Linked DNA regions of Caenorhabditis elegans. The protein of the gene in region 1 purifies or fractionates together with the protein of each later gene. This does not show direct contact. Each region holds a gene or a part of one and is shown in the gene's direction. Other genes may lie near its edges. The genes, in order: pid-3, Y41C4A.32 and egc-2.

Region 1 (3,743 bases):
ACTGCTCTAATCGATCAATTCGCTGGAACAGCTCAAGGATACAATCTCTGCAAGTGTGGCCTCCTTGGCGTATTTTTCTTCCACGCGGTCCGCTCCAACTTGTCCGCAGTGCCCGCCACCTGGAAATTCGCGGAGAAGCTTGAAGTTCTGACGTCACTGGTTTCACAGCTGGAGACTGATGGTTTTCTGCGGAACTACGATGCGATGACACCAACGATAACCCAGTTTTCTGAGGATGACTCGCTGCAATACATATTCCCAGTGGAAGAGAATTTGGAAATGAGCACAGCGTGCAGTTTCGTGCCGTCACTTGATATGCAGAGCACCCAGAATCCGTCTCCATCTACTTTGAAAACTATGAAAATCGAGGAAAGCCGGAATTTCCAGACCATGTCGGCGATGACGTTGGCCTGCGGTGGAGCTGCAGCAGATATTGTCACCGTGCCGGCCGACCGGATCACGTTTGCCGCTGGCAAGCTGGAAGAAGTTATTCGAGTCACTAACGTCTCGCAATCGCATATTATGTTCGCTTTGAAGGTGAGGTCTCGGTTTGGCGCGTAAAATTGTATGTATTGTGGTTTTTGTGCAATTCACCGACTTCAATGCATCGGACTTTACGCACAAGTTGGTACTTTGTGATTTTCCAAACATTTTTGCTGAAAAAAAAAATTGAAAATTCGAATTTGCGTGTAAAATTAACTCGCAAATTATTACGATATTATCAAAATATATAAACTGACATGTGAAACGTGGCTTATTTTTTATTTTGTTTTTTATTTAAGCGCCTCCCATTTTTTTAAATGAGCTAATAAATAAAAATTTTAACGAAAGGCCAGGAATGGGAGGAGCTTAAATAAAAAACAAAATAAAAAATAAGCCACGTTTCACATGTCAGTTTATATATTTTGATAATACTTAACACAAAATTCTGAGAATGCTTATGGCGCAACATATTTGACGCGCAATATATCTCGTAGCGAAAACTACAGTAATTCTTTAAACGACTACTGTAGCTCTTGTGTCGATTTAACGGCTCGATTCTAGATAGAAATTTTTAGATAGCTAATTAGATATGGATTTTCGAAATATCGATAGAATATTAAAATTAAGCAAAAAAGTAAATAATTCGAAGAAACGAATTGTTTTCATTTCGAAAACGAAACCCGTATATCGACACAAGTGCTAAAGTAGTCCTTTAAAGAATTACTGTAGTTTTCGCTACAAGATATTTTGCGCGTCAACATTCTAGAAATCTAGAAATTTCTAGATTTCTAGAAAATCTAGAAATTTCTAGAAATTTCTAGACGCATTCTAGAAATTTTGTGCTCCCGTAATATACACAAATTGAATTGTATAATGTAAATTGTTTGAAAACCGATAATTTCAGACAAATGCCGACGCCTACCTCATCGCTGCTCCAACTTCTGGAGTTCTTCTGAGCGGACAAAGCATGACAATCCGTGTTGGAGTCACTGGCAACTACTTCGATGATTTTTCGGATCCTGGAGTTTCCATTGATAAGGTTATTTTATAATTCTATTGAATAAAACTTCAATTTCCGATTTCCAGCTCGCCATCGACTATGCTCTGATCCCCAGCCGTTCCTACTCCAAATTTTCCTCCGAGTTCTTCTATTCCCAGAACCGACGTCGCCTCGCAATTCGTGTGTTCTATCAATGATTTGTCTCTTTTCTCGACTTTATTTTATTTATTTTTGTATTTGTAAAAAGCTTTTATGAGTAAAATTGTGTTTAAATCATGTTTTCCTGGCATTTCTACTTCCATGGGAGATTTCGATCCCTAAAACTGAGGTTTCAAACAAGCTGCAAGTACGCTCTACCGTACGAAGCCATTTTCAAACGCGGGAAATTGTTTCAAAAATTAATTTCGGAGATTTCTTTTTCATTTTTTCTGATTTTCTCGGCCTGTTTCTTCAGTTTTCTTGTAAAATTTACTGTTTAATTAATAAAAATGTACATTTTTCAGAAAATGGTTGCCCATCAGAAGGCGGATTTCAAGTCGAAATGGGCGATGGTCGTGACTGTCAATAACCTGAATGACAAGAAGCGAGCCGATTTGAGAGAATTTTCCGAGTGGTTTATCGAGACTTTGAGATTGGAAGGAGCTTTTATTGGTCACTATTTCAATTATGAGGTTATTAAGAGTTAATAATTAATTAATTATAAATGCAATAATTCCAGGCTGCACCGGTGACCATCGTCGAGACTTTGCCAGGCAATTTTGACTCATGCACTAATGCATATCAGAAGATTCACAAGGTTTTGATGGATAAATTAAATAAAATTCAATTAAATAATTCTTCAGGAGCATCCGCAGGTCGTCCTCGTCGTGCACATTCTTCCACAGTCGCAGTCGAACGAGTACGAGTGGATGAAGGTGTTGGCGTCGAGATACGGATTCGTCCGTCAGGGATTGCTCTACGATAACTGTGCCAATCGTTTCCAAAATGTGGAAACCGATCAGAATAGCGTGTTCCGGAACATGTGCCAATGGATTTATCGTAGCGGCACCGCGATTGTGAGAAATGAGGGAAAGTAAGTCGAATTACATTTTTTTATTTAGCCATTTTTTATTTAATTCCTGTGTGTTTCAGCGCGTGTGGAATTCTCCATGGAAAAGATCCGAAACCGACGTTCGACAAGGTTCTCTTCAACAGCGAAGACATCAAGGATTCCGTTTTCAAAGTTCTTCACGCCGAAGAAGAGCCGAGAGGTGCGGATCAGGAGAACATGCTGAAGATCAGTGGATATCCGGGGATGCTCAACACGTTCGGCATCGCACAACTTCTCACCCCATATCGTGTCAATGGGATCACCATCACCGGCGCCCAGTCGGCCGTCGTTGCCCTGGAGAACAAGTTTCAAGTCTATCAGGCCGTGCAGGATTTCAACGGGAAGAAGCTCGATCGCAATCACAAACTTCAAGTTAGCAGCCTCGTCGTCTCGTCGCCAGCCGTTCCACTCGAGTGGCCATCGCTCAAAAAGTCGAAGAAGCTCGTGGAGCAAGTGGGAAAGCCGATCAGACTTTCGAAAGTCTCCTCTTAAATGTGCCCCAATTTGCTTATAAGTTATTTTTTTCTGATTTCTGATGATCTTTCTTCGATATCTCGACCTTTACCGGTTTTTTTAATCAATTTGCTCATATTCCTTGATAAATAATCTCTCCATTAGCATGTGCGATTTTTTTTTCATTTTAATCTGTTAAAATCGGGGCTCGATTCTTGTTTTCGTTGGAGAGAATTGTTCTTAAAATAAGTAATTTTTTAGATGGAAGAAGGCAGCTCCTCACAGCCATCCGACGACTATGAGCCGAGATATAAAATTTGTAAGATTTTCCAGGTCTCGACACGACAATTTGTGTTCATTACAAATAGGTGTGCGCCTTTAAAAAAGTACTGTAATTCAGAGAAGATTTTCTGCGGAATTTTGATAGATTTTTCAGAGTTTTTCTCTCGATTTGTTGAAATTCAAGTGTTTTATTGTTATACTAGAACATTAAGCATATTTTTACTAAAAAAAAACAAAAAAAATCGAATAAAATTATGTGTCGAGACCGGTGTTCGGCCCAAAACTTCCACAAAAAATAAAATCTCGAAAAAACTCGTGGCGAGACCCAATTTTCTTCCAGCACGACCAAATCAACAAATGCGACTTCCTATAATTCGGCCTAAAATCCCGCCGAAATCCTCAGGCCCACCGGTTCGCCTGATCACCTCCGCCACT
Region 2 (4,168 bases), on another chromosome or scaffold:
AGCCAGTTAAAGTGGTCCGGCACGTGGTGAAGGTGAGTTTTCAGTTTTTGAGCCCTAGAGGGGCTTTTCCCAAACAAAAAAAATTAATTTTTTTTCCAGGAAACACCTATAAAAACTCCGTACTTAGATGTTTGCCCAAAATGTCAGGTTGGTACAGTTTAGCTTTGAAAATTGAAAAATTAATTTTAAAAACAAGTTCCAACGAAAAATGCTCATATCTCTTGCGGCAATAGTGCTAACAAAAAGTTGTCAACTAATAAAATGTAGAACATAGAATTTGCAACAAATTACTAGTTGACAACTTTTTGTTAGCTATTCTCTCTGTCGAGTTACAGGAGTTTAAATGCACAGATAAGTTGAGGGTCTGTACCGTGAGCCTACTTTCACCCGCATTATCTTATGGATGAAAAATTTTTTTTTTTTAATTTTCAATAAAAAGCTGTAGATAATAAAATTTGCTACAATTTATCAATTAACGATTTTCTGATAAGTAAAATGAGAAAAAAGTTACAACAGTTTGAAATATTGTGGGAAAAATTCAAAAAATTAAAATTTCTAATTCTAAACTCTGATCGCTCATATCTCCACGGGGATTTATTTTATTGAAATTTTGTTACCTATCAAATTATAGAAAATTTAATTTTCTACAACATGTCAGTTAACAAATTTCTTGTATCTTTTGTATGCGCCGAGTTATACGTGTTTAAAGAGATGTGGTCTCTGAGAGCGCTCTGTATTTCCAAACTTTGATCGCTCATATCTCCGCGCCGGATAGCTTTATCAAATTTTTGCCAACTAACAAAATGTAGAAAATTGAATTTTCTACAACTTCCTAGTTAACAAATTTCACAAATAATTCGCATCTTCCTTCCAGACAACAATAATGACATCAGTAACAACACATATCGGAATGTGTTGGTGGCTTATTTGCTTCTTCGGAACCTTTTTATTCTGTTGGCCTATTCTCATTTGTCTGTGTTTTGATGTATCCAAGGATGTCGATCATAATTGTCCAAATTGCGGATTGTTACTTGCCACGTCGAATCGAGCCGGTTTTTAATTTTTAGAAACAGAAATTTCCAGAAATTTGTAAAACATGTATTTTTTTTTGTGACGGGCAATGAAGATTTTGAATTTTTTTGTTGGTATTTTGTTATCCCTTGACATTAAAAATTAACTGTAAGGCTTTTTTCAGTGCTTTCTGCCGTTCGGCAAATTCGACAAATCAGCAAATTGCCGGTTTGCCGACTTTGCCGGAAATTTTCAACTATGACAGTTTGCCGGATATCGACTTGCCGGAAATTTTTAGACGGATTTTTTATAAGACGGAAACATTTAAATCGGTCCTTTAAAAAAAATTTCCGTTTTCTTTAGAAATTTTCATTGAATTTGCTTACTTTTCAAAATAGCTGTAGGAACAGCCGATTTGCCAGAAATTTTCAATTCCGGCAACTTGCCAATTTGCCGATTTGACGGAAAAAATTGTATGCTGCCCATCCCTGAAAAATTAATATTCTGAAGTTTCCAAAAAAAAATGTGCAAAACCACAATTTGCCGAAAATTTTCGGCAATTGTAATCACAAGTAAAGTCACAAAAATAATCACAAGTAAAGTCACAGAAAAGACAGAAATCATGGAAAAGGGCAACCCTCTCACTTTCGCACACACTCTCCGCTCCATTACGTTGCCCTAGGGCTAGTTGGAAGTGTTGAGTTGTCCGATTGTGAAATTCCGTAGAGTATATAACAAAGAATGGGAAAAATGGTAAAGCAGATTAGATTTATCTGAAAAATGTCCTCTCCAGCTCCAAACTTCGTTTCCCACTCGGATCGCGTCAAGTCGGTGGACTTTCATTCTGAGAAGCCATGGATTTTGACTGCTTTGCACACTGGAAATGTTCAAATCTGGAATTATGACACTAAAACGTTGGTCAAGGCTATGGAGGTGAGTTAAAACGATTCTGATTTTTCAGTAAAGGAGGGGGTGTACTCTAGCTCTACTTACATAGGGGTGCTTATCTCAGCGGAGAGAAAATTTTTCAGAAAAATATCTACTAGCAAGTTATAGAAAATTTTAATTTCCCACATTTTCCAAATTGATCACTTTTCTATTTCAACTCTCCAGCCCCGATAAACTGGTTTTTACTAATTTTTTGAAACTTTTGTATTTTTTGGTTCTTTTTTTTCGGTCGTTTTTTATGGAATTTATGATCGACTTCGGAATGCCCAATTTTTCCTGACTTTTGACTTTTTTGACTTTTTTTTGGATTTTTCGGAATATCTGGGTATTTCTCTTTTCCCTCCCCCAGCCCCGCCTAAGCCTAAGACTAAGCCTATACGTAAGCCTAAACCTAAGCCTAAGCCTAAGCCTGAGCCTAAGCCTAAGCATAACCATAACCCGAAGCATAAGCCTAAGCCTAAGCCTAGGCATAAGCCTAATCCTACCCGAAGCGTAAGCCTAAGTCTAAGCCTACGCCTCAGCCTAAGCCTAAACTAGAACATTCACATTACATTTGCCAAGTTTTTCACCGTTTCAAAATTCATAAATTATATTTCCAGGTCTCCGAAAAATCCACGCGTGCCGCCAAATTCATCCATCGTAAAAACTGGATCGCCACCGCTTCCGATGATCAGCAAATCCGGATCTTCGACGCTGAAACGTTCAGCCTAATCAACGAGTTCACAGCTCACTCTGACTTTATTCGCTCCCTAACCGTGCACCCGACACTTCCCTACCTCATATCGGCTTCCGACGATCGTAAGATCCGAGTTTGGGATTGGGAAAACGAGTGGAGAATGGAGCAGGAATTCCAGGAGCATGCTCATTATATCATGCAAATTGCCGTGAACCCTGAAGACCCGGAGATGTTTGTCAGTGGATCGTTGGATAAAACTTTGAAAGTCTGGAAGCTCGGTGAGCAAGAGTCGATTTGCACTCTGGAGGGTCATGAGAAGGGGGTGAATTGTGTGGAGTTTCTGACCGGTGGGAGAATTGTTTCGGGCTCCGATGATTGCTCAATTTGTGTTTGGGATATTCAGGTGAGCGGGAATTTGAAGTTTTATAAACATGGTGCATCGAGCGGAAACACCACGCTTAACTTTAGGAGCTCGTATATCGCTGGTATTTTATTCTATCAAAATGTTGCTAATTGACAAAATATTCTTTGTTTGTTTCTCTATAATTTTGTAATTGACAACTATTTGATAAAGTCCAAACCAACCAAGATAAAAGTGGTCAAAGTTTAAAAAAAGACATGGTGCATCGGAACATTTTTCAGACCCAAAAATGCATTGAAACTCTAAAAAATGCTCACAAAAACAACGTTACCTTTGTCACCCCATTCAAGACATGGATTATCTCCGGAGCCGAGGATTCTACTGTAAAAATTTGGAATTCGCAGACTTTCTCGTGGGTTTCTTTAGCTCAACTTCAATAAAATAAATTCAAAACCTAAAACTTCAGATTGGAAAAGGAGTTGAATTTTGAGAAGGGAAGAGCTTGGTGTGTGGCTGCTGGAAAATCCGATGCAATTGCAGTTGGATTTGACTCTGGAGCTGTTACAGTGGAAATTTGAGCTTTTTCGGAAATTGTATGTGCTAAATAACGATATATTATAAATATTCTGCAAATGTATACAGTTTTTTGAAATAAAGTGTATTCAAGTTAAAGTTTCGAAAAAAACGTCTGAAAAGTATGGAATTTTGAGAACGAAAATTTGAAAAATACTGTTGTTTCCAACATAAAAAAAAGTGAATTTTTTGATTAAAAAAATTGGAAAATTTGTTTTTTTTTGTTGCAAAAACACAGGGTTCTGGCAATGCATGGGAAAGCCGTGTACTCCACACGGACAAATACATTTAGTTTTACAACTAAAATCGAGCCGCGACGCGACACACAACGCGCCGTAAATCTACCCCGGATATGGCCGAGCCAAAATGGCCTAGTTCGGCAAACTCTTCCATTTCAATTTATGAGGGAAGCCAGAAATCTGTGCAAAAAAATTATGCGTTTTTTTTTTGAAAAAAAATGTTTTTTCCGGAAAAATTGGCAAACTGTGGATTTTTTTTTAAGGTGTACATGTCCAAAAACCCCTTTATCATTCGACAAAGTATTTATCAGGCAATTCAAAGTCTCATAACAATATCATTAAGCCCAGGAATCGGTGACA
Region 3 (3,781 bases), on another chromosome or scaffold:
CAGATGATTGGGATTTCGGAGATCCGGTTCTAGACTCAATCACTAAGAGAATGAGTCAAATGTTTGCCGGGAAACCGTTCCTTCATGAAACCTTGATAATGGAGTCAGAGCAATCACTCAGCGAGCAGGAAAAACGAGAAGCTCAATTACTTTTTGATAGAGAACGACGTATGGAGAACTATGATCCATTGAGTGGCCTGAGCAGTTCTAACTTTTATAACAATGCTCCTGGAAGCTCAATGGGAATGATGGGTCCACCACCAGTTCCGATGTTCAATAATAACATGCAAAATAGTTTCAATAATCATTGGCAACAATCTCCTAATCAGCTTGCACCCAATTTTGGATCTTATCCACCACAGCAATTTCCACAACCGATGCCAAACATGTCACAATTTCCACCTCATGGACCATCACCTCAAATTCCATCAATTCGTCCATCACCAATGCCTCACACGCTTCGAATGAATGTCAGTCAATTCCATCACCAAGGAGGTGGTCATACGATGACGTCATTCAACAATGGCTATCCGAATAATAACAATGGAGGAGCTATAGGAAACCCTCAACAAATGCTTCCTCCAAGAGATCCATCAGCTTTTCCGGGAGCTGTTATGAGCAAAATACCATCATTTTCCCCGGCTGGAGCAGTTCAACAATTGATTACTGATAGACGTGAGTTTGACGTTTAAGTTTTTTTGAAAATTCAAATTTTTAGAACTCGTTTTTCCCATTGTCGGACATAGAGATCAGCTTCATCAGGTTCAGGCAAATACACCAATACAGTTAGTTGTTCCGAAAAATGGATATTATGTGAAACTACGTGATGGAACAATTCTTGACGCTGTCGGAAGTGTTTTTGAGAATCGTTAGTTTACTAGAAAAAATTTCGTATAATTTTTTAAAATTTATAGATGCCCGTCAGCTTCGTGATATGTATCTAAGCAAAAATTTCAACCATGATCCGCAGCAGGTTCAAGAAGTCATCGATCTTGATTAACAACGTCTTGCATTTTTTTCTTTTGATGTACATTTCGTTTTTTATCATATAAAATACAACATCTATCTCAATGCAACATCCAATGAGATCTCTGATAATTCACTATCATTTTACTCAATTATTTTTCCTCTTATAGAGGCTCCTAAATTAATTTTAGGCAAGTTTCGAATTTCCACATTTCAACTTTGTCCACACTCTTCCCTTTTATCATTAGTATGTCAATTAATTAAATTTTTCTGTTTTTTCCAACACAGTAATCAGCTCCGCTGTTCGGCAAGCTGCCAATTGTGTTTTATACGCCTTCTCTTTTAATTTAATGAATAAATACGAATAATATTTAAATTATCGGATTCGCTTGAAAGAGAAATTGGAATAACATTTTTCCGCAGATCCCCGTTTTGTAGTGCCTCTTAATAACGCGTTTTTAAATACTGACTTGGTTACTGTAGGTTTTGGTCCCGACACGAAATTCTGAACTCGTTCGGCACGTTTCTTCAATTTTCTTCATTTCTCTCACCCATTTCTGATGAATTAATGGTTTTTAGATTAATTTTTAAATATTCAGCGTTCTGCCAGTTTCTCAAAATAATTTTTTTAGACATTTCGGTCGGATATGTCGGAATTGTCGAGTGAAATGAAGTCAATGGAAAACGGAATGTCGGCGAGAACGGTATTTTTTATCAAATTAATGACAATTTGTAAACTATTCATTTCAGGACAGACAACATTATCTTGAGAGAGCTCAATACTCTCCATGGCCAAAAACTCAAAATAGTGGAGCATTCGGAGCGCTAACTGATCAACCGAGAAAGTATCGAGGAGGATTTGGAGGAGGTGAAGGCTTCTCTGATTTTGGATCCGTTAGTGGACTTGGCGGTAGAATCCCCAGAAACTCCTCTCACCTAAACGACAGTTCTGGATTTGGTTCCGTACGAGGAGGGTACAGCAGTTATCGAGAAAGCAGATCATCTCGTGTTGCTGTTTCGGATGCTCTTTACATGAATAATGAACGTTGCGTGACACCTCTGCCATCTGAGAATATAATGGGTAGTCCACGGCGTGGATCTTTCCGAAGTTCGCCCCGATCCGATGGTATGGGATCTTCATCGAAGAGACCACGCTCTGGCCGCCGAACCGGTAGACGTGGGCGAGGTGGGCCAGGCCACTGCTTCCATTGTCAAGAGCATGGACACATTTCGAGAATGTGCCCGAAGAAGGTTGGAGAAACGGATGAACACGGAGATGGAAAAGATATCGAAGTGGAACCATTTGAGACGAAAGATTTACTCCAAGAAGACGCATCAAGATACTCTTCTAATATGAAGGCTTTGCATGGAGGTTATTGTTTGAATACTAGGAAAACGTAACAATTTTTATGTTTTCAGGTGGACTGTATCAAAGCAAGTTGGACAATCAAAAGGCCCGTGAGTCTTATTATGGAGGGTACGGCTACAGCATCAACAGTCTCACCCCAAGAAGTGTTGGCAGCGTGAGAAGTGGTTTCACAGCACCAATGATGTCGCCCGAAATTGACAAATTCTCAGAGCAGTTGGACAATGCTTTGAAGCTCAGCAATGTCGAGCCGGTAGCTCCGTCGCCATACGTGATGACTATCACTGGAAAAGGGCCAGCTGAAAAATTGATGAAAGAAGTGCCACCAGTTGCTCCAATCAACACTCTACAGAGCAGAGAAGGAGCCAAACGTGAGATTATCAAAATTCTATAATTGTATAATGTTCATTATTACAGAAATTTCTACGGAGACTTTGTCAATCGAGACACGCAGAACTGTGATGCGCGATGGAGAATTCCACTTCGAGGAGACGACTATCATCAATTTCCCACGAGTTCTTCCGCCCAACGTCCGTGTCATCGCTGCCCAGTTCGTGCCGGTCGCTTCACAAAATTCATAATTTCTGATAATTATGATGCTATCAAGGAAAATGTTTAATAATTACTATTGGGAACTCTGCCCAATTTGCAGCGTATTTTTACTGTTTTTCATTGTTGTTCCATTTATTGACTTCTAGGTATTGTTTTTTACGTTCTGGAATTGTTTCTGTCCTAAATTTGAAAACTTGTATTTTTGATTTGAGTCTTCAACCTCATTTCATAAAAGTGTTTCATGTTACTCTCGTTTCATAATTATACACACTCAAACTTGAACATTTTCTACAGTATACTTCATTCAAAGGAAATCTACGCATTTTCAGTAGAACTCGGAGGCGATCGTGGAATTGGCGGAGATTGGGCGAGTGGAGCGTCCGGAGATGGAGTTCTTGGCGGAGGCGGCGTCGTACTAGTAGTCATTCCCAATTTTTTGCGGATTGATTCAAGAGACATGACTTTATCTCTGGAAATATTGTAAACATGAAAAAACTTCTTCGCATATAAAAAACCAGCCGTGGACCGCACCTTCGGCGCGGCCCCCGACTTCTGGGGCTGAAAATTAATTTTTTATGAAACTACCGTAACCCTACAGTATTCCTACCGTACCACTATTGTACCACTACAGTACCCCAACTATATCCCTACACTAACCCTAACTCACTATCCCTCCAGAAGCCAAAACTTCACAGACTACAAAGGCTACATAGACTACAAACTATGGACACACAGAATAAGCGCTTTATATATAGTAAATGATACTTACTTCAAACTAACTTCTACTCCATATCCTTTCTGTGTCTTGCGAATCATGTCCAATACAGAATGATCTTCATCTTGGTTTGAGCTGGAAATTACACATATTGAAAATGCTCCTATAACATGATTGTGAAG

What was found.
Region 2: the proteins of pid-3 (region 1) and Y41C4A.32 purify together in Caenorhabditis elegans (affinity purification with mass spectrometry, with the first as the bait; one large-scale study listed by BioGRID). This does not show direct contact.
Region 3: the proteins of pid-3 (region 1) and egc-2 purify together in Caenorhabditis elegans (affinity purification with mass spectrometry, with the first as the bait; one large-scale study listed by BioGRID). This does not show direct contact.

Annotation. Positions count from the first base shown.
Region 1 is NC_003279.8:2,618,670-2,622,412, forward strand, and holds pid-3 (Protein pid-3), read left to right. Parts: upstream 1-1,980; 5' UTR 1,981-1,989; coding exon 1,990-2,154; intron 2,155-2,201; coding exon 2,202-2,279; intron 2,280-2,325; coding exon 2,326-2,555; intron 2,556-2,614; coding exon 2,615-3,065; 3' UTR 3,066-3,190; downstream 3,191-3,743. Other genes in the region: spe-47 (Major sperm protein), read left to right, coding at 1-537, 1,388-1,522, 1,570-1,680; Y23H5A.2 (t-SNARE coiled-coil homology domain-containing protein), read left to right, coding at 3,288-3,345, 3,649-3,743. UniProt on the Caenorhabditis elegans protein: Component of the pid-1 and tost-1 variants of the PETISCO complexes, which have roles in the biogenesis of a class of 21 nucleotide PIWI-interacting RNAs (piRNAs) that possess a uracil residue at the 5'-end (also called 21U-RNAs) and embryogenesis, respectively.
Region 2 is NC_003281.10:11,719,940-11,724,107, forward strand, and holds Y41C4A.32 (Beta'-coat protein), read left to right. Parts: upstream 1-1,766; 5' UTR 1,767-1,791; coding exon 1,792-1,944; intron 1,945-2,319; exon of another isoform or gene 2,320-2,386; intron 2,387-2,558; coding exon 2,559-3,038; intron 3,039-3,277; coding exon 3,278-3,408; intron 3,409-3,462; coding exon 3,463-3,574; 3' UTR 3,575-3,668; downstream 3,669-4,168. Other genes in the region: Y41C4A.11 (LITAF domain-containing protein), read left to right, coding at 1-32, 100-147, 875-1,060; Y41C4A.12 (Exocyst complex component Sec10), read right to left, coding at 4,125-4,168.
Region 3 is NC_003282.8:8,900,048-8,903,828, forward strand, and holds egc-2 (CCHC-type domain-containing protein), read left to right. Parts: upstream 1-1,598; 5' UTR 1,599-1,613; coding exon 1,614-1,670; intron 1,671-1,716; coding exon 1,717-2,338; intron 2,339-2,385; coding exon 2,386-2,703; intron 2,704-2,749; coding exon 2,750-2,913; 3' UTR 2,914-3,130; downstream 3,131-3,781. Other genes in the region: rad-54.L2 (Helicase ARIP4), read left to right, coding at 1-675, 719-868, 915-1,000; Putative serine/threonine-protein phosphatase C27B7.6, read right to left, coding at 3,200-3,353, 3,654-3,734.